Coturnix japonica: one gene and its partners. The protein of the gene in region 2 purifies or fractionates together with the protein of the main gene of each other region. This does not show direct contact. Links are inferred from orthologs where the notes say so. Each region holds a gene or a part of one and is shown on either strand. Other genes may lie near its edges.

Evidence for each region.
Region 1: the proteins of EZH2 (region 2) and PABPC4 purify together in Homo sapiens (affinity purification with mass spectrometry, with the first as the bait; 3 studies listed by BioGRID). This does not show direct contact. The link is inferred for Coturnix japonica from reciprocal best matches to the Homo sapiens genes EZH2 and PABPC4.
Region 3: the proteins of EZH2 (region 2) and YBX1 purify together in Homo sapiens (affinity purification with mass spectrometry, with the first as the bait; 3 studies listed by BioGRID). This does not show direct contact. The link is inferred for Coturnix japonica from reciprocal best matches to the Homo sapiens genes EZH2 and YBX1.
Region 4: the proteins of EZH2 (region 2) and MTF2 purify together in Homo sapiens (affinity purification with mass spectrometry; 10 studies listed by BioGRID and IntAct, with this or other methods). This does not show direct contact. The link is inferred for Coturnix japonica from reciprocal best matches to the Homo sapiens genes EZH2 and MTF2.
Region 5: the proteins of EZH2 (region 2) and SMARCA5 purify together in Homo sapiens (affinity purification with mass spectrometry, with the first as the bait; 3 studies listed by BioGRID). This does not show direct contact. The link is inferred for Coturnix japonica from reciprocal best matches to the Homo sapiens genes EZH2 and SMARCA5.
Region 6: the proteins of EZH2 (region 2) and RBBP4 purify together in Homo sapiens (affinity purification with mass spectrometry; 12 studies listed by BioGRID and IntAct, with this or other methods). This does not show direct contact. The link is inferred for Coturnix japonica from reciprocal best matches to the Homo sapiens genes EZH2 and RBBP4.
Region 7: the proteins of EZH2 (region 2) and ARID1A purify together in Homo sapiens (affinity purification with mass spectrometry; 3 studies listed by BioGRID, with this or other methods). This does not show direct contact. The link is inferred for Coturnix japonica from reciprocal best matches to the Homo sapiens genes EZH2 and ARID1A.

Annotation. Positions count from the first base shown.
Region 1 is NC_029538.1:4,814,513-4,819,122, forward strand, and holds the start of PABPC4 (polyadenylate-binding protein 4), read right to left. Parts: upstream 3,013-4,610; 5' UTR 2,912-3,012; intron 2,542-2,911; 5' UTR 2,513-2,541; coding exon 2,320-2,512; intron 1-2,319.
Region 2 is NC_029517.1:75,422,358-75,426,465, forward strand, and holds part of EZH2 (histone-lysine N-methyltransferase EZH2), read right to left. Parts: intron 2,286-4,108; coding exon 2,194-2,285; intron 1,225-2,193; coding exon 984-1,224; intron 621-983; coding exon 451-620; intron 105-450; coding exon 10-104; intron 1-9. UniProt on the Homo sapiens protein: Polycomb group (PcG) protein. Catalytic subunit of the PRC2/EED-EZH2 complex, which methylates 'Lys-9' (H3K9me) and 'Lys-27' (H3K27me) of histone H3, leading to transcriptional repression of the affected target gene.
Region 3 is NC_029536.1:5,554,660-5,557,688, forward strand, and holds the end of YBX1 (Y-box-binding protein 1), read right to left. Parts: intron 2,898-3,029; coding exon 2,595-2,897; intron 2,314-2,594; coding exon 2,231-2,313; intron 2,139-2,230; coding exon 1,892-2,138; 3' UTR 1,861-1,891; intron 994-1,860; 3' UTR 611-993; downstream 1-610. UniProt on the Homo sapiens protein: DNA- and RNA-binding protein involved in various processes, such as translational repression, RNA stabilization, mRNA splicing, DNA repair and transcription regulation.
Region 4 is NC_029523.1:12,126,138-12,130,245, forward strand, and holds part of MTF2 (metal-response element-binding transcription factor 2), read right to left. Parts: intron 3,425-4,108; coding exon 3,301-3,424; intron 2,373-3,300; coding exon 2,305-2,372; intron 1,933-2,304; coding exon 1,762-1,932; intron 1,099-1,761; coding exon 990-1,098; intron 823-989; coding exon 764-822; intron 627-763; coding exon 522-626; intron 1-521. UniProt on the Homo sapiens protein: Polycomb group (PcG) protein that specifically binds histone H3 trimethylated at 'Lys-36' (H3K36me3) and recruits the PRC2 complex, thus enhancing PRC2 H3K27me3 methylation activity.
Region 5 is NC_029519.1:26,874,092-26,878,199, reverse strand, and holds part of SMARCA5 (SWI/SNF-related matrix-associated actin-dependent regulator of chromatin subfamily A member 5), read right to left. Parts: intron 4,042-4,108; exon of another isoform or gene 4,027-4,041; coding exon of another isoform or gene 4,024-4,026; intron 3,938-4,023; coding exon 3,863-3,937; intron 1,084-3,862; coding exon 917-1,083; intron 225-916; coding exon 124-224; intron 1-123. UniProt on the Homo sapiens protein: ATPase that possesses intrinsic ATP-dependent nucleosome-remodeling activity.
Region 6 is NC_029538.1:4,587,175-4,591,738, reverse strand, and holds the start of RBBP4 (histone-binding protein RBBP4), read right to left. Parts: upstream 3,145-4,564; 5' UTR 3,010-3,144; coding exon 2,994-3,009; intron 2,534-2,993; coding exon 2,386-2,533; intron 1,818-2,385; coding exon 1,672-1,817; intron 1,443-1,671; coding exon 1,269-1,442; intron 1,085-1,268; coding exon 969-1,084; intron 804-968; coding exon 643-803; intron 519-642; coding exon 392-518; intron 306-391; coding exon 228-305; intron 1-227. Other genes in the region: ZBTB8OS (protein archease), read left to right, coding at 4,414-4,501. UniProt on the Homo sapiens protein: Core histone-binding subunit that may target chromatin assembly factors, chromatin remodeling factors and histone deacetylases to their histone substrates in a manner that is regulated by nucleosomal DNA.
Region 7 is NC_029538.1:102,050-106,653, forward strand, and holds the start of ARID1A (AT-rich interactive domain-containing protein 1A), read right to left. Parts: upstream 3,046-4,604; coding exon 1,891-3,045; intron 1-1,890. UniProt on the Homo sapiens protein: Involved in transcriptional activation and repression of select genes by chromatin remodeling (alteration of DNA-nucleosome topology).

The DNA of each region.
Region 1 (4,610 bases), on a different chromosome or scaffold from region 2:
ACTAGCAAGGTTAACCAACATACTTGATGCCTGTCCCTTTCAATCCCTTCATCACTGAAGTATAACAAAATGTTGCTAGCAATGAAGCTTATGTACCTAACCACTCCTTCCTTTTAACTCCACACATGCTTTACACTGCATGCCTTTCTTACTCTGCCATCTCTCCTTTAAGAAGGAAGGACAAGTTTATCTATACCCTTCTGCACCTCTTTGCTTAGAGACAGTTATCTAATCCCAGCCCCGGGTTCCTTCTTGGCTTGGGAAACACGCACTGTTCTCTGTACTGCCAGAACAGCTTATCTCTATGGCCACATTGAAGTTTCTCTCCATGATTATCTGAGTTGTCATAACTGTCAATGTTATAAAACCCGGGAACACAACTGAACTGCATGAGGAGCACATTTAAAAGGAAACAGCTTTTTTTTTCCCCCTCCCAAATGAAATGTGTTTGTTTTCTTTCCACTTACAGTTAAGAAGAATAAATATTAACAACCATGGCAAAGTCTGAACCAGCCAAAACTTCAAAGCGTTTCCTTAACCTGCCCATCAGAACAGGACAGACCCAGCACTGAGCATTCACTGCTCACCATGCACCAAACCTCAACTGAAGGCAGCAGAGCTCATTTTCACTAAAAATAACCTCCCTGCAGACCATCAAGCAATGCATGTCCAAAAATAACCCCTTCAGGGTAAAGCATCACACCATCAGCTGTGAAAAAACAAGAAAAATGCAAGCCCTGAACCAGTTTAGATGCAGGAGTTCTGGAAACACAGAAATTCAGGATACGATTACAGTGATCTCCTGGTAGCCCTAAAGGACAGCAACGTTCTGGCTGCTACCTGACTTGTAAACAGCTCAGCTCCTCTAGACAGTAAGGAGAGAATCCTATTTCCCACCCAAAGGTTAATAGGATCTGACAACTCTTCAGATTTACAAAGTGCTCCTACTTCCACTAAAGGTATCCAGGAAATACAAACTATCCCTTTTCATGCTGCTGTTCACTACATCAGGAAGGACCTTTCTGACCCAGATCTCTTTGTGGAGGCAGAAGAGTTTGCGGATTTCTCCCTCCCTCCCAATAGTAACTCAAAGATAAGGTTTAAGTCACTTGACCTTGTAAGACCTACCGGTAACAGGACACCAGTTACTCTGTCAAAGTATCACTTCATGTGCTGGGGCTTCCTAAAATGTCTGCTGCTTCTCCAAGAGCCCAGAATGATGCAACATCCCTCTAAACTCATGCCTATTTATTACCATAAAAGTTTACCTTGAAACACATGGGGAGACCAGCTGTCTTCCTATTTGTTTGGGAGTTTTTCCTGATACCATAAGCATTTACAACTAGCTACTCTTCCCTTTTAACATCACACCTACACCTACATGATAGGGGTCTTCTCTACTCTAAGAACACAGAAGGCATTCTGAACCGGGAAAGAGGACAGCAACCAGGACGGTACAGTCACCATCAGCTCACATCAAATCAGCTGAGAGCTCAGAGGCTCTGCTGGCTTGCAGGAGCACAGCTCTGTGATGACATTTCTACACACTGTGAAGGCTGTGACCTGAAGGCAAAGTATTTATTACCCTGTGGAAGTCTGCTATCTGCTCTCTGTAAAACTCAAAGGCAGGATGGCCAATCACAGGCTACGGGAGAGGTTACTGGCTGGTCAAGTCTGGGCTGTTATGAACTGATTTTGAATCCTGTCTGTTCTGGAGATGTCTATATATAGAGACTGCTAAATCACAGCAAAGAGCAGTAAATGTGCACCAGGCAACAAGTAAAGGCTCTCAGAACAAGGGCAGAAAATACTGACCTACTTTTCTTCCAGAAAAAAAAAAAAAACACATTCACAAAGACCTTTTCTGTCCCATCTTTCATGCTTCCAACTGCTTTAGCACTGGAGCATCTACTGAATCAGGTGCCAAATGGAACTACTAGAAACAATCTGGCCAGAGTAAAGCAGCACGGACCCTGCACAGGAGGCAGCACAGTGCATTGCACAATGAGCTGCTCAAGAACAGCACTGCAGATTGTCATACAGCAGCCATCAGCCCTCCCAGGTGTGAAGGGAAGCAGGTGAGCAGCCAGAGGGTGAGGGCAGAAAGCAGCCAACTGGGGCTCATTAGCCAGCTGTGCCAGGTACACAGAACAGCTGGCACCTCCAGTGCTTTGGGGGGGCACCCCCGAGCAGGTGGAGATCCTGATAAACTGTGTTTGAATGTCTGAGAGCCGTGAGGCTGTTTGAGAGGCACAGACACAGCGGGTGAACGCCAAGAAGGGAGGACACGGCTCGGAGCCCCCCGGCTGCTCCACGTACCGTCCGCCGGCTGCTGGAAGTTGACGTAGGCGTATCCGAGGGAGCGGCGTGTGATCATATCGCGGCACACGCGGATGGAGAGGATGGGCCCGGCGGGGCTGAACTTCTCGTACAGCATGGCCTCGGTCACGTCGGGGTGCAGGTCGCCCACGTACAGCGAGGCCATGGGGTAACTGCCGCCCGCCGCGTTCATGCCCGGACCGCTCGGCGTGGATGGGGCGTCTGCGGGGAGAGAGAGAGAGAGAAGAACCTCCGTCAGGGCGGACCGAGCCCCGCTCACAGCCCGGCCCGGCTCACAGCGCGGAGCTCCGGGCCCCGCACGGGCCGTTTTCAGGCTGTTTGGCCATAGAGCCACAACCCGCGGCCTCCGACACCCACAACCCGCCCCAACCCGGAGCTTCAAACCGCCCCGTCCCCGCGAGGCTCAGCCCCACAACCGGCCCCGACGGGCCGCAGCCCCACGCGGCAGCCGGGATCGGACCGGACCGTGCCGCAGCCGCCCTGCCCCGCTCCGTGCCCCGCTCCGTGCCCCGCTCCGTGCCCCGCTCCGTGCCCCGCTCCCCGCCCCGTCCCGGTGCCCGGCCCCACTCACGCGCTGCGGCCCGGCGGGCACAGAAGGGGCGGCTCACACCGCGCTGCCCTTTATATCCGGCCCGGTCCGTGCGGGGCCGCGTGCGGCGGGACGGAGGGAGCGGCCCCTGCGGCGCCACATCCGCTACAGCGCCGCCCTGCGGCTGGGAGGACCGAGACCGGGGCGTCCGGATCGGGGCTGCTCCGCTGCGGGAGGGACCGGCAGAGGGCGGCGGAACCGCACCGAGACACGGCGGGACGGAACGGACGGGAAACCGGCACCGTGAGGGGCTGAGCATCGCTGAGTGCCGCCCACAGCCCCGTCCGCACCGCAGCAGGCACAGCCCTGCGTCCCCTCGGGCTGCTCATGGTGTTTGTAGCCCGAAGAACGAGGATGCTCGGGGGACTTTGGGGATTTCCCCTACAGGGCAGATCAAACGTTGCCGGGATGTGTTACCGGAGATGTTTGATCTTAGAAAAACCCTGGGAAAAGAAGCTCCATCCCTCACCCTCCACTGCGACCGAAACGCTGCTGCGGGGGGAAAACCCCGCGGGGCTGGAGCGCTGCCCTCCCACCGCCTGATCCCGGCACGCAGGAAGCGGTTCCCGCAGTCCCCGCTTTGCTTTTACCCCCGCGGGGCTGTGGGTGAACAGCCGCCCCAAAACGAGCCATGCGGGGCTGGACCCCCCCGCCACCTCCCACCGCGTCTGGGCTGCCGGGCACCGGGGCTGGCTGCGCTCAATGGCCCCATTATCGCTCCCTCTGACTCCAGACGGATGCTGCCTTCCTCCTCGCAGCTGCAGTTGCTCCCTTCCAGCAATTCCCAACACGGCACTTAAGGCGAGGATTTATGGGCGGTTTGGAAAGGCGTTTTGGAGCGAGAACGAGTTATGGGAAAGGAAGTTGAATTTTCACCGTTCCCCGGGAAATTCTCGCAGCCTCTTTCACGGCCGGGATCGCTGAGGATCCTCCCCGCTGAACAGGGGCTGCTCTCAGCTCTTCCCACAGCCCGGAGCCGAGAGGTGACTCTGGTTCTGCTCACAGAGGGTCAGCAGACACAGGGCAGCCCCGCAGTCTGGCTGGACTGGTCTCAGCGCGTCCCAAGGCATTTCTGTGGATGCTGGGAGCTAAATGAAACGAGCTGTGCTCAAGCCATGGATTATTGCCAACCTCAGGGTGAGAGCCATGAGATCCCTGCTGATCTCAGCTCATGCAGTGGTTTGCAAAGTAAGAAGTCACGGGAGCAGCCACCACAAGCAGCGTTCCTGCTGGGGATGTTCCCTTACACTACACCTCAACAAAGCTCATGTGCTGCAACGCCAGCAGTCATCCCAGCATCCAGACTGGCAGAACAGCTGCACACCAACACTGCATCTCACACCAACAGGGGCTGGAAAGACTTTATTTACCACCTTTGCTGGATGTCACAGCTGTGACTCTAACAGAGGGAGGCTGGGCTGTTTGCTGCCGCTCTGGCACACTGAGCAGCACAGGACAGCCGGGGCCACGGCCTCCTCTGGCTTTACAGCGAAGGAAAGTGTTCCTGGCTGCTTCTGGCACTGGGGACCGGGGGTGAGGAGGAGCAGCAGAGGCATTTCTGTACACTAAGTGCAGCGGCATTCACCAGAACAACCAGGAAGACTCTCTCTCCAAGCAGCAGGGCTGCACACATCACGTGCTCTGCAGGAACGCAGCCCAGCATCTGTGGACACACAGCAGT
Region 2 (4,108 bases):
CAGACTTACCTGTGTTTCCTTTTCTTCTTTCTGGGAGGAGTATCAACATCTTCAGCAGGGACTGGTGCAATAATACTAGATTCTTTTACTCTAAACTCATATACCTAACAAGAGATATTATCCATGATAAATCTCACTAGTAGAAAGTTGCTCATTTTCTATAGTAATATTATTTCCTTCAATCAACATCTTACAGACTGAACCCATCTTTTCAGTATATTTAAGGTTGATTATTTTTTGTCACTGTAGTAGAGATACACTAGCTATAGCCTCTTGTAAATTTTAAATTAAGTTGACTTCTATATAATTGCAGCATGAATTCTGGATCATCACATTCTTGGGAAACCAAGGAAATTTACTTTCCTTTTTCAGTAATTAATACTAGTAGTTTTGTATTTCAGGTCTAAAAAGTAAAACACTATCATCCTTAGTAATTGCATTCCTTCTTACCTGTCTGCATGTTTTGGTCCCAATTAGTCTGGCGATTGCACAGAAGTTATCATAGTAGGTGCCAATAAGAACTCTAAACATCGAGGCTTCTGCACCACTCCATTCCACATTCTCTGGAGGCTCAATATTTGGCTTCATCTTTATTGGTGTTTGACACCTAGAATTTGCTTCTGCAATAAGCAATCATTGAAAGTATGAATCGATGTAAGGTTATATTTCAGGAAGTTTCTATAGCCTTTAAAAACACCATATTAACCTAATCAGTTATAGTTAAAATAGTGCAGAGTTCTCTTGGTTTTATTTATTTAAGCACTACAACAAAACAGTAACTTTCATTTGGAGAAGTCCCGAACTAGGTAACATTGGCTACTAAAGTTACAGATCTCAAATCTAAAACAAAGTTGAAACAATCTGGACATTTTGTTAAAGAGATCTACAAATGTTTCAAATACATGGTTTCTAAAATTGCATTGCACAAAGTGGATTCATGCTCTCAAGCACTGCAACCAAGTAGAAGCCTTGACTAGCCTTACCAGAGGAACTGGAAGTTTCATCTTTCTTTTCTTCTTCCTCTTTATCATTGTTTTCTCCTCCAGTTTCCATTCCAGCTTCTCTGTCACTGTCTGTGTCTTTTGATTCCAGCACATTTATTGTTGGTGTGCTAGGTCTGCTGGTGTTATTTGGAAGTCTTCCCCTTCGGCGACCACCTGGGCGCTTCGGTGGTGTCTTTATACGCTCAGCAGTCAGGGCAGCTGCAAACTCCTTTGCACCTTCCTAAAAACAAAACACTGATTTTCATTACAAGTTTAGAAGCAATTTCACCCGTGGCCTGAGGTGGGGGATACCTACATACTATTCTAGAAATTTAATCATGAACACAAATTCCAGTTAATTTACCCATAACATTGATGGTCTCTCCATGTTCAAGTTTACTATTACGAACATTAATGCTTCTGATGTTATCATGAGTAAATCTACATCTACCAATTATTTATTTCAGTTCCACTTTCACTGCCAAGTGAAAAAATAATTCATTCAGTAGTAAGTTTTCATCTTCCTAGATGACATAAGTAGTCTGAATGTTCCACAGAGTCCCTCCATAACACAAGAACTCTTTACATGGCACCTAAACAATAAACATTCTGCATTATTCAGAAGACCATCAGTATTGTAATTTGTTTTCTACTGGAAAGGAATATGATAACAGATTGGAAGTTTTTTAGATTAGAAGATCAGACATGTCGTTTCACTTAAGGGAAGTATGAGGGGTTTTTCTTTGTTTTTTGTTTTTTAGTTTTTTTCTTTGTTTTTTGTTTTTGTTTTTTTTAAAGTGTTTCCCCTTACTGGTTCAAACCAAAAAAAGATTCTGGCAATAACCCTTCTTCAGCGAACTGTCCAGTTTTTAGTTGATAGGCCACTTTTGAGAAAGTCAAGTCTCTAAAACCCAGTTCTTTGACTAGACTGGACACAATGGCAGAAACATTATTAATAAGTACTGATCTTACCTTCTTACAAGCACATCAGGCTACATCTAACAGAGTCAAAAGTTATTCCTACTCAAACATTCATTTAGTGATTAATGCTTTTCTCACAAAAACTGAAGATGACACATTTGACTGCAAGCAGCTTACAGGTACAAGCATGTTTACATACATAACACACCCGAACACTAAGTGCAGCTTGATGTACTTACAAGTAATTCTACTTTAGTAAATTCTTACAGTTAGTTTTTAATTATCTTACCAGATGCTGGTAACAGTGCGGTCCACAGGGCTTATTATCTAATGCTGTTTCTGTATTCTTTCTTTTGTAAGTATTTGGAGTTGCATGGAATGCTGTTGAATCAAGAAAATAACACTTGCAAATCTTAAAAGTAAAAAAATGCATTAGATATCTAACTTCAAACAGTAATAAGAACACAAGATTTACCAAGGCTTTACCAAGAACAGCATAAGAATGAGAAAAATAGAAAAACGTCAAGATACATGCCACCTACTGACATTTGACTTACAAAGAAAGTAGATGACTACATCTGCCTATGCCCATTAACATCAGTGAACATCAAATTTGATTCTCATCCCAAGGGAGGACTTGCTATATTTCCCTTTTGATAAACAGAACAAACTTGATTACCATTACCAAGTTAAGCAGAACTATTCCAAGCATCTCCTTTGAATGATCATCTCTCAAACTGTAAGAATCCCATGTTCAATTTTTAACTTGTTTACATAAAAAATAACAACTCCATGCACTTTAACAAAGCAAATAACACATTTTTCATGTTAGTTACTGAAAAGGACTTATGATCATTTTTACTGTATTAGTTCGCAGCACCAAAACTAAGTTCTCTCCCAGCTGCAGACATACCTGCTCATGTACACTGATGGAAACTGTAAAGCACTCAAGTTGCAAAACAGTGACTTAGAATGATGCCGATCTGGGTACATTACAATTGCAACGTTAGTACTTCTACAGAGTGACTAAGCTCCACAGACATGCCAGAGCTTGTCTCTACCACATCTTCTGTCACATGATATTTGCCTCTCAACAGAATGTTTTCACTGGAAGCATTAGGAACTCCCTAGAATCCCCCACTAAACTAAAATGTGGGAAATCTGCTGCTAAAGCCACACAGGAACAATAGCGCAATCAAGTCCCCAAATTATATTAAGAGATTTCAAAAATAATATCCTTAGTTTTCTGTAATTCTATATATATTTTTAAGTCCTCCAATAAATACTTCTCCCCCAGAAACGCAGTAACAGTAGCACATACAACTACAAGGAAATAAAAAAAAAAAAAAGTGGTCAGCATACTGAAGCTTAATAAAAAAAACCAAAAAACAATAAAACACAAGACTCAGCACTAGCTGTCAGTTCTGCTACACTCCATGAAGGCTTAAGAGCCTCCTCTCAGAAAACATTTTAATCCCATGCACTTATGTTGCAGTTTTTAACACACTTACAGTTAAACAACTGTAAGTTATAGTTACGTTTTTCAACACTCAGTGAACAGGAAGTACTATTTTTTGAACTGAAAGAACAAATCTCTCCCCTGTTAACCTGTACAAACCCATTAGAGGGTCTCTTCTAACGAACTCACACCTTTCTCCACCACGATAGCTTTTCCTACTTATTTCTAGATTCTACATGAGGTTTCTTGCTATAATAATCCACCATTGTGCCTTCAGGAGCTTTCACAGTACTATTCAAGTAATATCTGCCAGGCAATTGATTTACAACATAGTTCTTCTAGCACTTGATTTGGGACCAACTGGGAAGGTAAGTCAGTGCTAGTGTGTATGTCTTAAGGGAGCTTCTCTGATATCTTAAAACCATCACTACAAGCTTCCCTCCCATAAGGGAAGATGGTGTAGAAACCTCATGACAAATTCCATAATTTTATGCCTCTGTTAATGTCAAGAGCACATAAGGGTCTTGGGGGAACAATGTATTTTTCCAAGGCTGGGCTTAAAGTGTAAAAGGATATAAAATATTTAACTAAATATTGCATTTTTTTCTCTCCAGATAGATCTTATAAATCAAGAAAAACAAAAAGACTTCAATTTACCACATGCTGACATAGATATGTAAAAACTGATTACAAGCAAATATAGGAATGTAATTTACACATGTTGCTGCTGTTAGCATTTCTTCCA
Region 3 (3,029 bases), on a different chromosome or scaffold from region 2:
TGTTGTACCCTACAGCTGTGGGAGCAGCAAAGCAGCTCTGCTCATTGCCCTGTTGTTGCTTTGAAGTAATTCAGGGCAAAGCCTCATCAGCACAGAGCAACACTGACTCCCCGTGGCTGCAGCAGCGAGCCTCTGCCCCTGTGCTGTGTGTGCTGACTGCAGTCCAACAGCTCCGTGGTTCAAAGAGCGGCTCTTACAGGTGGAAGCTGCTGCTCTACCGGGCAGCCAGAAACGCTGAAAGGCATTTAGAGATAGAGCACAACACAGACGCATCGGCCGCTAATGGCTGGTGCTCCAGCACACCGGAAAGCAATTAGAAGAGCGAGCATTAACATGATAAAAGCAGAGCGCTCATTAGTGGGAAGGAGGGGAAGCCACAGGGCGCTTAGAGCCGTCCATGGGCAGACCCGGCGGTGCATTCATTGCGCTGCTCCTCCTGTTTTGCCTATGGAAGCATCACTTCCATGTGCTGGACTAAGAGCCTTTCACCCGCATAGAGCTGAGGGCACAAACCCAGCAGTACCAACATTCAAATCCACAACTGCTGAGCAACAAATGAACTGCTCGGCTTCCACAGAGGTGGGTTTGAATGAACCAGAGCAGGCCGTGATTAACTTTAAGACCTTTATTAACAGATGCTTGCAGTTTGACTTGAAAAAATCAGGCGTACTTTTCTTACAAATTAAAAATGAGGTTCTTAAAAATCTCAACTTGACCAGATATATGAAACAATTTAAAAACCTTTAAAGGTGTATTGAGAAAAAACAGACTTTTAAAAAACGCGTTTCTTGTTTCCAAAAGGAGACTTCTTTAGGTAAAAATAATAAAAACCCCATGCTGCATAGATAATGCAGATAGTTCTTGTAATCTGGTCAACAGCAAAAAGCAAGCACTTCAGGTCTTCAGTTCCAATTCTTTTTGTTCATTTCTTATTGCTGGAATTTCATTTTCTTTTCTTCTTCATTTCTTTAAGTCTTTTCTTTGATGACTAAACTGAAAGAAAGGAATAAAGGATCTCAGACGTGGCGTCATGTGGATGTGTTCAGCATGTTGAGGCTCACCTACAGTTTAAATTCATGCTCTGTTTTTGCATACGCATCTTATCACACACAGCTCCCCATCAGCCTATACTGCAGTGATAGAAACTGGAAGCCTGCACCAGAAGCCAGAGCAGAGGGATCCAGGAGAAAGGGCACCCATTAACACCCTTCACCAGACCCTCTTAGCACCAATACCTGCCTTTGAAAGCAAAGAACCAGTGCCTACATAAGACAGCATAAGCAAATAGCTCTGCAGTGACAGCGTTTTCAGTAGGGACCCCATGCACCCCTGCAGACAAGCAGTACCACAGCCCTACAGGGCAGCCCATGCAACACCAAGTGTATCCCTTTTCAGGTGAGAAGCTCCTACCAAAATGCTCCTGCAAACTCAACATCTATTTATGAGAAACAGATGTGGAGAGGTGCTAAAGCCAACCAGCACCCAGCCCTCAGGGCAGGGCAACCAAAGCCACAATGCTGGCAAGCCTGAAGAGCTGCTAGCATCCTCACACACCTGTTTCTCCTAGCAGAATGCTTTCAGGTCACCACACCAGCATCAAAATGCTTCTTGTGGGTGAACTATCATAGCAGAGACTGATTGAGGTTTAAAGATTAGCAATATTCTATGCATTTATTCCACCGGGGAAATTTAAAGCCCGGTAGCAGAGCCCACCCAGTTAACCAGCACTCAGTTCTGTTCTGCAGAGCCAGCAAGCAGAGCAGTTCCAACGTGCATTAACACAAGCAGAACTCAAAGGGAAGCATCACAAAGTAAAGAGCCCACTGTCCAGTCACACCCCCCAGAGCACCCAACACGTACCCGGATGATGGTAGAGATGTTAAGCCGGTATTTACTCAGCCCCGCCCTGCTCGGCCTCGGGAGCGGACGTGTTCTCAGCTGGTGGTTCGGCTGTCTTCGTCTCTTTGCCATCTTGTGGTTTAGGGTTCTCTGGGCGTCTGCGTCTGTAGTTGAAGTTACGACGGTACCGACGTTGAGGTGGCTGCTGACCTTGGGTCTCATCCCCTTGGTTCTCTTTATCTTCTTCGTTTCCATCCTCTCTGGGCTGTCTTTGACGAGGAGGACCCCTGAAAGTCAAGCTGGGCTTTAACAATGCAGCATCTGAGCACTGCGATGTCCTGGCTGTGTTGCTAGAGCACAAGGCTAAAGCAAGAGCTGATCTGCGGCATACCTGCGGAATCGTGGTCTGTAACCTCGATACATGTTCTGCCTGACTGGTCTGCCTTGTTCTCCTGCACCTTGGTTGTCAGCACCCTGGAAGACAACGAGACAAGAAATGTTCTTAGCCAGGCAGTCAAACCACACAGAGGGCTGCAAGGCAGACAGCGGCCTCAGTGCACTACACAGAGCTTCCTCTTTGCCCAGTTACTTGTACCAGAAGTTAACACACTGCTTTTCAACAGCTGTACCCAACACCGTGCCAACATCTGCTCAGGCATTTTATCTCACTGCTAAGCCTTACAGAGCACATCTCGAGCATCCGCAGAGCTGCGTTTTATCGCCCTGCTCCACAGGACCCACACCACATGCGTTACCTCCACTATCTCTCCCTGCACGGGAGGGTTGGAATATTGTGGTCGACGCCCGTAGGGCCTACGCATGTAGTAAGGTGGGTACCGCCGCCTGCGGTAGGGACGGCGCTGCTGGGCTTGGCCTTCCGGGATGTTCTCTGCTCCTTCGTTCTTCTCCCCACTCTCACTGTTCTGGTAGTTTTGCTGGTAGTTGCGTGGAGGACCCCTGCGACGCGGATATCGTCTGTAATGGTTACGGTCTGCTGCGTATTTGCTGCCTTGCACTGGAACGCCACCAGGCCCTGTCACATTCGCTGCCTCCGCACCCTGAGGAGCAGGGAGAGCATTAAGCAAGCAGTGAGCACCAAACCGGTGTGATTCAGCACCCAGCACCGATTTGCATCCCCATTTGTAAAGCAATGAGCAACCATTCATCTCCCTGGATGTCGTCAGGCAACT
Region 4 (4,108 bases), on a different chromosome or scaffold from region 2:
GAAATTTTGGAATACTCCTATCTCTGTTTCAGATCTACTATAGTTGTCCCACAACTTGCATCAGTCTCCTTATCTTCTATCTTTGCTTTGCCAATGCTTCAATTGAAAACAAAAACAAATAGAAGAACCCATCACACATCACCGGCAGTGACTAGACTGCAGATGACTGGAAAACTGCCTTTTTGTTTTGTCTTCTCTCAAAGAGAGATGCTGTTCTGAGCCTCTCTCGTATGCAAGTGATAATCTTCTTAAAGCTTGTTGAAATACAATCTCTCTGGAAGTATCTGGCTCAAGTTTAGTTGAAGTAAGCCAAAATACAACCTCAGGTTTTTAGAAACCACACACAGAACATCAGAAGTCATTTTTGGCAAGATAATTCCCATACACTTTCAGTAACTTCAGCCCATTGCAGGTAAAGTACCACTGAACTACTTGCTTTGTGTCTCCACTTCAAAAATCTCGTGAAAATTAACATATTAAACCCTTAATCGATATAGTAGATAGAGTAATTCAGCTGTTACCTATAATGTCTGGATATGCTAGATGAGGTAGTTTCTTTTATACTGGCAGCACCTGTGGATTCCACATCTGAGGTATTGGATGAATGTGCAGTTCCATCGGATTTCCTGATGTAAGATAACAGGGTTGCCATGTAATGAAAGTAATCTTAGAGTAAAAATTGAGTTGACATTTCAGAAGTAAACAAATAAATGACATGCTATGTTAAAATAGCTTAAGCTTTTTTAGTGTGTTTTTAATTTACCCAACAGAGCAGGGTAATTCCAAGGCTGGGGTCTCTATCACTGGAACCGGTTCAGCATCCTATGAAAAAAGGAAGAGTGCTTCAGTTTAAGTTTTAATTGCTTATTCAGCTTTGTTTGAGGGCAAATGGGGAGAGGAATATCATGATTTAGATTAACTGATTATATTTTTCTTCAAAAATGATAATCCAGTTAGAGAAAATAAAAGAAACATATCCAAAACCTTACCAGAGGAGACGACTCTGGAGTTTTGTGAATCATTTTTCTCGTATAGGGACCAGGTGGACGACCTACTGATTTTTTTTTCCCCTTTCTTTCTATACCATTACTTAATTCCCTAGAAGAAAATTTATATTTTTTTCTGTATTATTGAAGATAATTTTCAAAGAATAAATGCTTTCCTTTGGCAATGAATACACATTGTGCTAAATGAGATCCTGGCAAATCAAAACTCTCATATAAAAGCTAAATAATTTGCCTTTAAAATAACACACATAACATTCTTTCTAGTGACATTACCGGTTCCCTAATCTTGAAGAGGAATGAACAAGTGTTGGTTAAAGAAACATCAAATCTACTACCACAAGCTAGAACTGCATATCATATTTCCTATTTAGAAACCTAGTTAGTAGCATTGCATAAAAGCTCCGGAAAGGACTTTTTTTTTCCCCCCAGTGGCAGCAAAGTTAGGACAGCTTGTATTGTTCTCACTGCCAAATGTCACAATGGTTGTTTGGGTTTGTGTTTTGTTTTTCAAAAGGCTCATAATAGAAAACTAATAAGCTTGCATACTCTGCTCTCATAGTCACCTTTAAGGAGAACATGCAGCTACATCAGTTTACAAGTTTAAAGTACTTTTAAAGCACACAAACAGCCCAATTTAACAGTTATTTAGAAGTGTACATTAAACAACAAACAGGACTTCTTTCACAGGCACCAAAGTACTTACAGCAGTTCCTATTTATCACAACATTTCTAAAAAATCATGGGATTATTTTACCTCACATCAGGGATTGGTTTAGATGATTTTCTGCCTTTAATTTTGAATTCATGAGAAGTTCCTTCTGGTTCTTTCTCAGCCTTTAGAGCAGCATTTGGTGGCACAGGAGGAACACGAATTCTCAAGCCAAACAAATGCTTCTTTTTCTTTATTTCTTTTCCAGACATAAACCTAGGTGATTTTAAATTCATTGTTAACATTCCGAATCCAGGGAAAGCAGCTTTTAAAATAAAGTATTCATGCAAAACAAATTAAGCAAATTAAAATACTCATCCTAATGCTATTTTATTCACCTTTTCCCACTAACACAATCCTCAATCTGAAATACAGAATGAGAACTGGGAAGAGGATGGAAATTAAAACAATTTTTTTCTCATGATCTGTGATCCACTCAAATGGGTGTTATACTCTGAAACAGAAACAGTATTCAAAATGTCAACGTTAACACAGCCACAGTGATTATCAGAGAAACTGAGCAAAGGAAACTGACAGCTACAAATAACAAAGCTGCGAGCATTTAAGAAAAAAATACCAGCGACTTACATGGTCTTGTAATCATTTAATGCCTCCAGTACATGCTCATATCTTTCAGATTTTGGTGTATCTGCCAGCTGTGGAGAATTAAGAAATTACTTATCCAATTTAATTCTTTAGTAATAGAAAGCTTCCAGTAACTCCGAGTCATCAAATCTACCAATTTAGATGTGAAGTACATTTAAAAAAAAATTACCTGTAGAAACTACCTAACCCTAAAATTAGTTATTTAAACTCCATCTGTTACGTGATTCACATTCACAGAAATGACAAACCCAGGTCAAAGAACCTAAATTTTCTGTTTAAGTAGTACAAGAAATAATTTCAAATTGTTTTAGTACACAAGAAGAATAGCAGCCTGCCTTCCCAAGATCACTAACATGAGCACCTCAGTATCTTTCTTATACAAGAAAGAAGCTCACACTTCAACAGCCACATGCCAATGTCACTCCAACAAAAATTTCTTAAATGCAGAGCCAAAAGACTACCTATATCATTCCTCTTGGGGAAAAAGATTTTCTATAAATTTTCCTGATAACAGCCCAAATAGCTGAAAAAAGTTGAAATCCTTAAGACCAGTAGACAAACTGCTCACACTCATGCTTGGAACAGGGAGGAAAGAGGAACCATTTGTGTGCAGTGATTTGTTATGTATTACACCTTAGAGACCTTAATGTTTTCATACTAAATATACTCTGTATTCAATTATATGCATAGGTTTACTGGTCCACACCCATGAAAATATTCAAGGAACTATGAAACAATTAAAAAAGAAGAAATAATAAAACTGCCATGCAAACAATAAAATGAAATTTTATAGCTCAGAAAAATATACGCAACTTAAAAAACTTAATTCTTCAAGGAAATTGAAGATAACCTCTTTATCACTTGGAGTGAACAGATGTTAAGGTAATAAAGAATTTAACATCCTACATAAAACAGTTCATAGGTCTCCAACACATGCACGGTGAAAGGTGGGGAAGAAAGAACATTCCAACTGCTTACCTCACCAGGATGTAATCTATCCCAGTTTTCATTTATGTATGCCATGAGTTCAAGCTCCGAATCAAAGTATTTCTTCTTATGAATAACACTTAGGTTGTAAAGGCATAGATGTGCTATATCTACCCTAGAATTCAGAAATACACAAAATCACCAAAAAAAATCTGAATTGCTTTTCTTTGACATAATTTTTTAAAAAAGATTAGCATAACATAGTTAGAAAAATAAAGCACAACATAAAACAATCAGGAAACATTATGCTACCTCCTATCATTTCTCTATCTAACATGGCTGCTGCTTCATATCATACATGCATTTCTGCCTCATCTCCCATTCTCATTACGTTCTTTTAAAATCCAAAACAATTCTGAATTCATATAAGAATTCCACTGAACTAAAGTTTAGCAAGGTAATTTGTCAGCACATATATCTATTAAATTGGTATTATTTTTAATACAAGCTGCAGTTGATGTACTTCAAGCTACAACATGAAATTTCATCAAGTAAACTACCATAAGGCATGTCAAGCTGTTTACTTTTAACACATTTCACTTAATTTAACATCAAGACAGCACCTGAATAAAGGAATTCTGCTTAGGACTCTCAATCTTAAATAGACAACAAGCAAGTACTTAAGTGCAACTTCACTGAACAAATCTAGAAACAAATCCCAAGAGAACTCGAGTGCAAATACACATGCATTTATGAATAAACCTTGAAAGAAAAACAGCCCATTTCTACAAGAACCCAGGAAATGACAAAAGACAGCAACTCTTGTTGTCAACAAGGTAACTCAGTAGCAAGAAAAGCA
Region 5 (4,108 bases), on a different chromosome or scaffold from region 2:
TTCCTCCCTCCCAGTTGACTCTTTTTCTCATTGAGTAGCATGAAGTTTGAGTTTCAAGCTTAACTTTTGAAGGGTAAAGCACTTTGGGTGAAGGAGGGGAGAAAAATAAAAGAGGAAACACACATGATGGAGATTCTTCAAACCGAGTGCAGACATTCGTTGTCTTGGAGCTTTCTGTTAACAGCTCTTCATCTTCTTCCTGTTCTGTTCTACGATGGCGATAGCTGAAAGTGCAGAAAAGAAGATTTGTTCAGAACGATTCCAAAATTTAATTGGTCTGCAATACACGTGAGCACCTAAAGAAGCTTCTTGCAAGAGAACTCTTAAGGTAAGCTGATGAATTGAAATAATTTAGTTCTTTAGATCAAGAGCTTCTTAATGATAGGATGCCTCACATTGTGAACAAGGTCATGTGTTAGGGCAAAGTGACTAGAAAGGGCTAAAACACAAAAGACACTGCACACCAGTACTGGTCTGGAACTACAAGGCAAGAAATGACACCTGTGATTCAAGGTTCTGCAACATATGCCAGAAGCTGCAGGAGTAGTGCAGACATACACGCTGCCATGAAGGCAATCCACTTTTGTGGATGTGATTTCCAAGGTGCCTCTAGGACACACAGTGTTACCTGTGAACTCTTACAAATTACAGCCAAGACTGCTTTACTCTTCTGCCCCAGCTTTCCTTGGTACTGGAATACTTTAAATTGCGATAGTACTTTGCCATCACAGATTCCTTGTAACTCCTAGAATTCTTTGACAATTTACAAGTGGGTAGTTGGGGGGAAAAAAACACCACAATTGTACAGTGTAAAACACCTCCAAACAGGACAAAGGCTGACAGTGTTAACTTACGCTTCTAAAGCACAATAAAATCCTTAATTACAGTACAAGCTGGTCTACATGTCATCACTCACTCGCCAACTGACAGCAAGTTCTGCTTTTCATCCTTCTTTATTCGCGGACGTCCTGGTTTCATTTTCAAAGGTGAAGTAGGAGTTTTCTGAGCAGCAGGCTGAATGAAGTGAGCAAACAGCTCAGTCTGCTTCAACAGATACTCAAATCTGTTTGCTCTGTCTGTTTGCTGTTGATAAGGGAAATTAAGCAGAAGTGTGAGACGTTACAATATGCATTCATTTAAAAGACAACAAATGCTTTTTGAACAATACAGATTCCTGTATCTTCAAATACATAGCTATGATAACAAAAAAGAGATGATTAATTTCAGCAATGTAGCTGTTGCTGACAGATTCTTTCACTAAGTCAAGGCCAGCTGCTGCTACATGTTAGGATCAAAGCTGTCAAACGAACCTGCATTAAGACTGAAATCTGACTGGCACTAAGAGCATGTGAGTGTCACCAAGCAAAGCAGTAGAGCCCCTTTAACAACCTCCTCCCAGCAAAAATTATGGTCCTATTCCAAGAGATGTACACCCATCCAACACGCACAGGATTCTTCATCAAACTCATTCGCCTCACCCACCTGGCAACAACCATTCTCTTTTCTACCACATTAGCATCCTGGCTGCTTAGTGAGATAATGACCACCGTGTAGTGTCAGATAAGTATTACAATTGGCATGAAAAAGGGCTGGGGATAGCAGAAAAGCCCATGGCTAAAGCCAGTAAACCAATTTCAGCAACGAAGAGCTGTTACATATGCTCAGCCTAAGATGACTGAGTACACCCTTTGCTCACCATCTTTGCTGAACAAATAAAGATGACAGGAGACAATACCTAAAAGGTTTAGGTCCTTTGAGACAGGTTCTTTTTAGAATTAACGTCTCTTCCAAGTATCCTGAGTTTGCAGGAACTCGAGAATAGGCAATTGAGACAGAAGACAGCTCCAAGCTTAAAAGCAACCACTCAGACCTTCTGCCAGCTGCCACAACATAACCTGGTATTTAGCAACATACAGTTATAGGAAGTCACATTTCTTGGTAAAAAGGAACATGCTCCAGACTTTGGCAAGAACAGTGCCAGCCCTCTGTATATTCAACTCTTGAAACAGATCCTGTGCTACATGAAAGACAGAAAGATGGGATGAGAGGAGATGAGACAATAAAATCCTTTCTGTGCTACAGAGGAGTTAGAGACACTCTAACCACAGTTATAGCTTGACTGACACAGCTCAATTCCACAGCCAATGAACGGTTTCTGTTTATTCCTCAAAGATCATTTCTGTTTATTACTGTTTCTAAACTAGCTGGGATCTTATTGTCTTATTTGCCTTATTGCCAACCCTTATTTGTTTCACTGGGAGCACAAAAGATAAGAAATACAAACTGCATTCGAGAAGCTTCCTTGTTCTAACATGTTAGCAAGGAAATAGCCATAATTTTTGGCAGAGCACAAATACACCACAACCATTTTCAAGGTGCTTCAGGTAACAAGATAACAAACGTTGTCTGTGTCTTTAAGGCAGGACACAGACAGTAGGTTGCACTACACAATCTTGAGCTATTCTTCTACCAACAGAGATAGAAACTTCTCCTGTTTTCTTTTGCAGTGCATCTTCTGACTGTTTTTACAGTAAAATACGATCTTCCTTAACAGTGTGCCTATTTAGAGCCTGGATGAGACAAACCCAAGTTTGCCTTCTTCTAGGAAGTAGCACAAACAATTCAGCAGAAGACTGGGTTATTTTCAGTGCTAAGAAGAAACACAGGAAGTAGCAGATTACAAGAATCAGTTTCGCTTTGCTATAAAGAAATTCCACATGTAGTCACAGGCATTAGGGATCTCTGGGATTAGGAGCAGGAAAACAGGAAGGAACAGAGAAAGAAAATGTGATACAACGGTAAGGAGTGGAAGGTTGCATCTCCTACAGTTGGGATATCGTGAAAGGAAACAAAGGATGTTTCCTCCTATCTAATCTGAGACATGGAACTACCTGTTTTCAAGTTTAAGGAATCTAAACTGAAGCTTCATAAGGAACAAATTGGGTTTCTGAAAAGCTAATAAAATCCCTTTCAGTCTAAACAATGTGAAAGGGCTGAAGAGCTGGAGAAGGCTTACAGTCAGCACCACTCACACTTCACAGCAAACCTCTTCTCAGCCTCCTGTGTATTTTCAAAGCTGGCTTTTATTTACTTTGCTCATATACTGCACTGCTTGAAAGAAACTCCCTACTCTGAAGTGCCCCCACCAGAGTACATTTCAACTGAGAATGAACACAGTGACTCCTCAAAGCCTTATGCCCTCCCTCCCTTTTTTAAAACTGATTTTCCTCTCCTCACATTAAAATTAATGTACTTTTCCTACAGAGGACTCTACTCCTGCAGTTCAAAAACAAAACTGGAATTATTTTCCTGTGCTAAACAGTGACACGTGAAAGATCCTAGCCTTCAAATGATGCCATATACTGAAGAAACTGAAGTAGCAGCCATCTAGGAACCAACAGATCCTTCTGACTGAGACATTGAATGCTAAACTCTTTGCCCTCCTCCTTGTCTACAACTCTCTACTCAACATCAAAAGCAATGTGACCAATTCCTTTTCATTACGCTTTTTAAGTTTAAGACACTGGAATAATTCTCATTACACGATTCTTGTAAGCCTTCTTGTACGCACTTCAAAGCTTCTCCGACAATGTTTCCAAGAACACCAAAACACGTTCATAGTTATTCCCACAGAACACCACAGGGAAACACCAAACAAAATGCTGTGGGGTTTTCTTGTGTGTGTATGTATGTGTGGGGAGGGGGGCAGAGAGGAAGGGGTTGTTTGTTTTAAATTACTGAGATATTTCTGAATGACCCAACAAAGGTTTACAAAGCCAGATTTCAAAAGAGCAGAACACTAAGTCCATTCTGACAAGTGCTTAAGACAGGACAGCTGTATGGATTTCTCAGTGTTACATACCATTTTCTCTTCATATGTAGGATCTGCTTCAGAGATTTCTTTTGGTTTTCCTGGTGATGCATCATTAAAAGATTCCTAATAGGAGAAAAAATTAAAAAAAACTTATTTCCGGAATAAGAAAACATACCTATATAGAAAAGAATAAGCTCGCTGCAAATTACCATCTATCCACATCAGCCGGCACATCCACCTTTTGCTGCTCTGATGCAGTTAGCCTCCTGTTACTGTAATGTGACCCGGGGCTGG
Region 6 (4,564 bases), on a different chromosome or scaffold from region 2:
TTACCTTCGGCCCCAGCTTTCTGGACACTCTTATCTGCGCTGGAATTCTCCCCCACACAGAAAGCTCCACAACAATAAACCAGAAAATTATAAGCAGATGAGAGACAGGAATGAGGTTTTTAAGCACAAGTACACTTCACAAACACAGTGAAACAGACTGCCTTCCACTTTACCAGCTAAGTAGAACTAAGCTTAGGTGCAGGGAAGACGCAGACAATTTGTTATACCTGAAATATTTCATCTTTATGTGACTCGAAGGAGTGCAACTTCAGCTTTAGGTTCCTCAAGTCCCATAACGCGACAGTCTGTCAAAGAAAGAAAATAGTTTTTTCCCCTCAAGTAACCAACATGACACACCAACTCCTACTCCAAATTCAATACAAACATTTACCTTATCAGCTGATCCTGTAGCCAGGATAAACTCACTGTAGGGATTGAAAGAAAGGCAGTTGACTTCAGCTGTGTGAGCATCCACGGAATGGCTGGGTTTGGAGGTGTTGTTTGACCGCGTATCCCATCTGTAAGCAGAAGGAACAGACCTGGAATGAAGGCTTACACCCCACCTTACGGGCAGACCAGGGAGCAGCTGGGAAGGCAAAATGGACTGAGATGTTCAGCCTCTAAAGAAAGCACCCCGCTTACATCATGAGCTTCTGATCATCAGCAACAGATCCAAAAAGAGATTCGTGCAGCAGGTGCCAGGAGACATCTTCCACTACAGCTGTATGCCCTGTGAAGATGGTCTTTGCATCCACCACTTTACCTTCTTTTGGAACAGCACTTATATCCCACAAGCAAATGGTCTTTAAAAAAAAAAAGGGAAAACCAAAACGAATAAAAATTGTATCTTTAGACAGGAATTCTCTGCACTCCCCCACCTCCATCCCCTCAAACACAGAAACATTCCTGACCTTTGTCAAGGGACACAAAGTGCAGATCGCACCCCAGCTACACTTAAAAGCACTCACGTGATCATCAGAAGCACTAAGCAAATGCCCACTCAGGTTTGGGTTCCACGACAGCCCGTAGCCTTCTTTCTGGTGTCCACGAAGACGCAGATCAGGGTTACACTCTCCAGAAGGGTCTGTAAAAAGGCAGTGTAAGAACTCCGATGCTTAGAATCACTATCAGCACATCAAGGATTAAAGTTACACGCTATGCAACCCACAAAACTTTTCAGCCTCTTTTGCACCCCATCAACCTTAAGAAAAGGCTGTTGTGGTTATTTTTGTAGCTCTGAAGCATGAAGGTGACAAAGCTCCAACCACCTGGTTTAGAAGGATGTTTGGTGTAATCGAAGACGAGGACATCGCTGGATGGAGTCTTTGTAGCAATGATGCATGGGTTCTGTGGCATGTAACGAGCTCTGTTCACTTCTCCCTCATGGTTTATCTTGATTTCAATTTCAATTTTTCCGCTAACAGACCCAAAGCCTCCAAACTCTGTGGGAGAAAAAATAAAGAACATAAGTAAGCATTGTCTTGCTTACAAATAACTCTAAGAAGCCCAAAGATCACAATACAGATTGCATAATCCAGGCTTCTGGCAAGAAGAAAAGCTAATATTAGATTGTTAAGAACTTTTAGCATGCAGAAAAATGGATTCAACCATTAAGAAGTGGAGGAAAAACAGAGTTTAAGCCCCACCTGATTGACATCTTTGCTCCCTTACCTCCTTTCTCACTATCGTAGTGTGAGGCATCAAACTGTGCATCATCATTAGGCAGCTGCACACTCGCTATCACGAGATGATTTTGTTCATCTGAAGTGTGAGTCCCCAGGACCAACCGGTGAATGCTGAAATCCTTGCCCTCAGGCCTGTGAGAGAAGAAACTCAGGTGAGAAACACATGGAGTTTACACAAACATTGAGCTGAATATGGTATGTACTGCTAACAGCTTCCGACACCTGTAACATCCTTAGAAACTACCATTGCTCTCCTGCTCTGACACTGTATTTCTTCCTCCAGAAGAATCTCTCCTCCCAACTCAAGATCTCAAATCACAATTCTTGGAGCATAACAGCACCTACCCCCAGATACCTCCAGCAGTTCCCCTGCCTTCCTTTAAGAGACTCTAACAGCCTCCCCAGCGCACAGTTGGAGATGCATATACACTCTTTGGAAGCAGAATGTTGTGGAAGATTAGGATGAAAGAGTGCTTAAAGTGAAACTATATTTAGTTCTCTGTGGGGAGGAGGGCTTTGCATTTCAAAAAGGAGAACGAAGCTGGAAGAAGAAAAGCATCAAAATCAAAGACGTGAAGCATTTTCTTGGTGATAAGCAGCACTTTCCCCACATTAAAGGTGTCTCTGGGGTTTGCAGACGAGACAAGGAGTCACACGGAGCCTTACTTCTGCAAGGAGTACATCCAGAACGCACCCTCACCTCGTCACATCGGGGAGCCACTGCGCAGTCAGGCTGGGCCACTCCAGAGCGTGGGTCATTACCAAGTCATATAAGAAGGGTGTGTTCTTCTTCCATATCTTATACTCCTCGTTGATCACACGTTCTTCCACTGCGTCATCAAAGGCTGCTGAAGGGTTCATGAAAGCAATGCGGGATGTTAGCGTTTATCAGGACAGGCACAACACACACAGAGATGGGTGGGCACTCAATAACGGGGCACTCAATAATGGAGCACTCAATAACGGGGCCCTCACTCAATAACGGGCCCCACCACACGCAGCTGTTTATCACCCAACGTTGCTGCGGGACACGCCGCCCCCCCCGCCCGCAGCCCCTCGCAGTGTCAACGTAGCGACCCGTTGTAACCCGTTGTAACAGGCCGGTCCCTGCTGTTTCCCCCAGCGCCCCGCAGGCCGCACGGGACGCCCCCCGCCCCAGGGCACGGCCCAGCGCCCCCTGCCGGAGCCCCCCCGCCATCACTGCGCACGGCGCCGGCCGATGGAGGCGGGGGGGGCGGGCAGTGAGGCCTGAGGCCTCTCGGAGCCGAGTGAAGGCCGCAGCGCCCAGGCCGCGCCGCCGGGCCTTACCTTCCTTGTCCGCCATTGTGGGCGGCGGGATGAGGCTGCGCTGCGCGAGGCGGGCGCTGCTGGCTCCGCTCCGGACGCGGCTCTATTGTTTCCTGCCCCCGCTCCCTGCCGCTCCCGCGCCGCGCACCCCTTCGCGCGCCAACACTGACCAATCCCCGCCCGCCGCCGGGAGGCTTCCGCCAATCGGAGAGAGGCAAGGGGCGGGAACGAGGGGCAGGAGAGCGCGCTCGGCGGTCACGTGTGAGGGCGGCCATTTCCGCGGAGCCATTTCCGGACGGAGCGGGTGGGCGGCTCTTAAAGGGACAGTGCCCCGGTGAGTGCGGTCTGCGCGGGGGGGGGGGGGGTCTGCAGGATGGCACCGTGAGCCGGCCCCGAGCTGCCCCTGAGCTCTGTCCTACCGGTTACCGGTCGCTTAATGGGTCTCTGTGACCCGCCCCGTTCCCGGTTTGTGGCTCCGTTCACACTCAGCCCTGTGCTCTTTCGGCCTTATTCCCTCCCAGGAGCGTTTCCCAGCTCGCAGGTCTCGGTGCTGATCTGCGAACAGAACCCGGAGATCCCGTGTGGGATCGTCCCATGGCCGGCAGTGAGAGCTGCTCCTATGGGAAAAGCCACGGTGGACTCACGTGGGATGTCGGGAAATAATTACCCTGAAGTTAATGGGGCGCTGCAGCCGGTCTGATGTGTTTGCGAGGGAGAGTCGGTGTGGAACCGACTGGTGGGATCCACTGGGTGGGATTGAAGTGCTCCATAACGATGTGCTGTGCCCCATAATAATGTGCTGTGCCCCATAATAATGTGCTGTGCCCCATAACGACATGCTGTGCCCCATCACAACGTGCTGTGCCCCATAACGTGCTGTGCCCCATAAGGTGCTGTGCCCCATAACAATGTGCTGTGCCCCATCATGTGCCATGACACACAGCAGGCTGTGTACCCTGTGCAGTGAAGCTCCAAAGCCAAAGTTACCCGTGTAACTTACTGTAGAGCTGGTAGAATTATGTCCTCGTAGATGCAGTATTTTATTGCTGGAGGGTGATTCACACGGAAGGATCAGGGTTCCTCCCTGCAGAGGCTGAAGGGCACACTGTTGGTGCATGCTCTCGGTGCACACTGTTGGTGCATTGCACACTGTCAGTGCACACTGTTGGTGCATGCTCTCAGTGCACACTGTTGGTGCATTGCACACTGTCAGTGCTCGCTGTCGGTGCGGTGCTGGGTGTCACTGCTGTGTGCCGGCAGTGTGAGCAGCACAGCACTGAACTCTGTGCTTCTAATCTTGTTTTCATGCACAGCCTGTGTGCAGCTGCTCCCCATCGGCTGCTGCTGAGAGCCCCAGCTGGAAGCAGCTCTCCTGTCCAGCCCAGCAACACCCTGCAGTGGCAGTGGCCATGTTCAGTGTGAGCAGGAAGTGAGCGCAGCGATGGCAGGCGAGGAGCGGGACTACAACCTGACGGAGGAGCAGAAGGCTGTGAAGGCCAAGTACCCACCGCTCACCAAGAAGTACGAATGTGAGTGACACTGATACACTGTGTGTGTGTGTGTGTGTGTGTAAGAGGGAAATGGGAGGAGCT
Region 7 (4,604 bases), on a different chromosome or scaffold from region 2:
GTAACCAAAGAACAAAAATTAAGCAGCTTTCACGTGGACACAAGCATTGAGAGAGAAAGGAAAGTCTGGAGACTGTATGTCACTCTGCGTGGGATCAAATGGCTCTAACCCAGGGCCTGAAGTCAGAGCAGAGCACATGGAACGAGGAGGGACATCTGTCAGGCTGCACAAGGCCACGACAGGCCGTGGGGACGTGTGTCTGAACACAGAGAGGAAGCTGGTTTTAGTCAAGTTTCCAGATATTAGAATCCCCGTATCTAAGATGTCTGATGCACACACTGTACTGCTTTCTCCTCGGCACGCTTCCTGCTCCTCCATATTTCCAGCAAATGGGTAAGTGTCCCCACACGATGATCATTCTGATGTGCAGGCTTGGATTTCCTATTCATACTCCTTCAGAAAGTGAAGTACTGTGACAAAGTGAGGACCTACAACATGTCCTTTAAATGCAGAGAGGGGACAGATGTTGTCAGTGCTCACTCAAAGTCAAAACATGCCCTGAGATGCACAACCAGAAGCCGAGGCCTGATCAATATTGAAGCTCCCCAATTAATTGAAGTAGGTAAATCATTTTCAATGCTTCCACCACAAAATTGGTTGCGACTGTTTGGTAGGGCTTTTTGTTTATTTGTAAGGCTGCAGAAACCCCCACACCTCCAGCTGAAAGAATCCAAACAGTCCCGGTCTTGAAAAAGGCCAAAATTAGTTGGGAACAAACGCACCCTCAGATCCATCAAAGAAATCATTTATACCGAAGGGAAAGTCACATAACCAAAATAAACAGCAAGCCCATTGTGCAGAGAAGACCTGCCACTGTTCTGACAACAGAGACTCTATTCCAGGCTGCATAAAACATCACAAGCAAAATAAACCCAAGGTACAAACAAAATGCCATCGCCTCTTCTTTTGTCTCGGGCACAAAGCAGCAGGGCAGGCAGGCCAGGGATCCGCTCCTGCAAGGCCGACTCTCCTCAAGGTCACAGCCAATTTCGGTGGGGGGCCGAGGAGGTGGCGAGCAGCAGGGCTGCTTTGGGTCCGAGCTGGCAGAAAAGCCGAGTGTAAAAGTTTATGAGCTCATCAGGATTGTTGTACCATTACATCAGAGGCAATTATAAATGGCCAAGAGCAGGAGATGGGGAGCCAATCAGATCACAGATAGGATGTCAACCTAAGACCAACTGTCTCCTGGCTTTGACAGAAGGATTTTACCTCCATAATTCAAATCCCAAACCAAAGCAATCTGCACTCACTGCTCCTATCGCCGAGCCGCTTACTAGCACTCCCGGCCACGGGCTCGGGCCGCCGGGCCTCCCGCGGGGGAAGATGGCCCCTCCGGGCCGGGCCGAGACGCGGCCACCCGGGCGGGCCCTGGGCGACCCCGGGCAGGGAGCGAAGCCCCCGGGGCGCGGAGCGGGGCAGCGGCGAGTAGGGGCAGCGGCACTGCCGGGGGGGGACACCCCGCGCTGGACCAGGCGGGCCGCCCGCCGCCCGATCCCCGCCGCACCGCCTCCGCCGACCCCTTCGCGCCGGGCCCGGCCGCTCCCCGCCGGGGACGACCGCCGTTTCGCCCCCCCTTATCCCGGCGGAACGGAGGCCGCTCTCCGGGAGCCTCGCACAAAGGCTGGGGAAGGAGGAAGGAAAGGCAGAGAGGCAGCCATTTTAGAGCGAGAGCAGGCACAGACAATGGCAGCTCCCCAGCAGCGCCGACCCGGCGGGGAGAAGCCACGGGAGAGGGGCCGTCCCGTCCTCCCCCCCCCCGCCCCACACCACCACCCTCCTCAGGGCACCTCTCTCCCCCGCCGCCCCCATCCCCAGCCCGACGGCCGCGGCCTTCCGCCCCGTGTCCCCCCCCCCCGGCGCGCCGTCCGCCTCACGCGGCCTCGCGGTTACCTGCTGGCTCCGGCCGAGGCTCTGTCCCCCGCCGCTGCTCCCGGGGCTCATGGGCGCGTGGTGACTCCTCGGCGGGGCCCCGCCGGGCGCTGCGGCCCAGCCCTGGCCGTTGCCCCCGCCGTACTGCGAGACCATGTCCGCGGCGCCCGGGCCCTTGCCGGCGGCTCCCCCGTCCTGCGGCCCGCCGCTATAGTCGCCCCCGGGGTAGCCCTGATAGCCGCGGGCGGAGCTGGGGGAGGTGAGGAGCTGGTTGAGGGTGGGGGTGGCCGTGGGCTGAGGGGTGGCGCCCCCTCCTCCTGCTCCGCCGGCGGCCGAGGGCCCCATGACCCCGAAGCGCTGCTGCTGGAAGGCGGCGGCGGGGGACTTGGCGCCGGCGGCCGCCTGAGCGGAGCTCTGCGCGCTGCCCCGAGGGGAGCTCAGGGCGTAGGCCTGGGGGGGAGGCGGGTAGGAGCCGGCGCTGCGCCCGGCGCCGGCCGCGTAGTAGTTGTTGTACTGGTGGTTGGGGAAGCCGTGCTCGGCGCCGCCGTGCGAGTTCTGGGGAGGGGGCGGCCCCGCGGGGGCTCCCGCCGGCCCCGGGTAAGACTGCTCCAGGCCCCCGCTCTGCAGCGCTGCCATGCCAGGGCTTTGTTGTCCGCCATGTTGGTGGAAGGTAGCGGCGGCGGCCGCAGCGGCGGCGGCGGCGGCAGCAGCCTGGGCGCCCCGGCCGTAGGGCTGCCCGAAGCCGTAGGCTGGCGGGGGCAAGGCGGCCGGGTGGGAAGGGGGAGGCTGCTGCGGCGGCTGCTGCTGCTGCGGCGCCCCCACCCCGTCGCTGCTGCCGCCGCCGCCGCCACCGGGCGGCTCCGGGAGGTTATTGTTCAGGGTGGCGGCGGCGGGCCTGGGGCCCGGGTTCCCGTTCGAGCTCTTCAGGTCGGACTCGGCCCCTGCGCCCCCTCCGTTGCTCTCGGCCCCGTCCTGCAGCTCTTTCCCCGGGGGGCCCTCGCTCTCCGCCTGCTTCTCGCCGCCGCCGCCGCCTCGCTCCGCCGCCGCCGCCTCGCCCCCCGCCTCCTCCAGGGGACAATCCCGCTGCTGCGCCTCCGCTTTCTTCAGTTCGGCCGGAGCCGGGGCGCCCAGGCTGCTGGCGGCGGCGGCGGCGGCGGGGGCGACCTGAGCAGCCATGATCCCCCCCCCCCCCGGACCGGTTCCCCCCCGAGCTGCTCCCTGCCTGGCCGACCGGCGTGAGGCCTCACTGCTCTGCTGCTCCCCGCTCAGGCGGCGGCGGGCTCTTCAGGGCAGCGGGGGCTCATTCCCCCCCAGCCTGGTTGGCGAGGCGGGGAGGGCTCCGCTGGGCTGGGCTTCCCGGGGCCTGGCCCCGCTGTACCTCCTCGGTTGCAGCCGGCAGAGAAAGGGGAGGAGGAGGAGAGAGTGGGGGGAAGGAGGAGGAGGAGGGGGGGACCCGGGACGGGGCTCCCGGTGCGGGAGAGGCGGGAGGGAGGGAAGGGGGAGGGGGGTGGGGGGAACACGGCGAGCGGGCGGGCGGGCGCCGTCCCCGGAGCCGGGCCGAGCGGCGGTGGGGCCGGGCTGGGTGAGCCGCGCGGCAGCTCCCGACTCTGGTCCGCCGAGTGGGGCTCACTCCGACACGAGGCTCAGCACTGCCATTTTACCCAGCGCCGCGGCCGCCTGCCAAACCCGGAGCGGAGCGCGGCGCGGCCCGGACGGGAGCCTCCCCCCCTTCACAAAGGAGGAGCGGGCCGGCCCCGGCCGCTCGCGGCTCGGCGCGGCGGAGGCTGCCGCACGCAAAACCCGCAGCGGATCCGCGGAGCCGAGCCCGGCACCGAGAGCGGGGCGGTGCGGCGGAACCGGGGCCGGCGTGCGGGCGGTGCCGGGGCAGCGGGCGGCGGCACGACCCTGGCAGTACCGCCCGGCTCGGGGCGGGGGGTCAGGAGCCGTGACCTCGCTCGGAGCGGCCTTCCTTGCCTTCCTCACCTTCCCGGGGCACCTCCGGAGGCGGCGGGGGCGCAGGAGCCGCAGCCCAGTTTTGGGGGAAAGCGGAGCGGGCTCATGGCTGCGTTGCTCGGTGGCGGCTCTGGAGGTTCAGCGAGGAGATGGGCCGCGGGTCAACGAAACGCCTCTCCCCGGTCCCTAACCATCCCATTTAGAATTAGCCTTCACTAAGTGCTGCGGGTTGTCATTTCCTCTCTGCTGGTCGTGTCCCTCTGGAAAGAGATTTGGCAGCATGCCAAGGCAATAGCTGCACACACGGACGTCCAAGAAAGTCGGGTTCCCACTCCTGTCAAAGCGATGGCAGCGGGTGGCCGGAAACTGCCTCGGGGTGGTTGAATGTGTAGAACCACAACCACCTGAATGTGTCCAGACACAACGTGTTGAGCAATGGGCCAGAACGCTCCACTCCGCAGTCTCCAGGACCATGAGGTGCTGGAGCTCCCCAACTGTCAAAAGGTGAACTGAGAATTAGGCCATGCTCTTCTTTAACCATTTCAGAGCCGAATTCCCATCTCCTCCATCCCCACAACAGAAGGGAGGAGAGGAACGTACCTGAATCTCAGTGCTGGACACGGGCTGTCCCGTCCCAGCATCTAGTTTTGTTTTTAATTGTAATTCGTACAGGTCTGTGGAAAAGATACAAAAAGATGAGTTAGTTATACTGTAAAAAAAAAAAACCAAACAAACAAACAAAACAACCCCCTGAAATGATGGAGCTTCCCATCTCAGCCCTG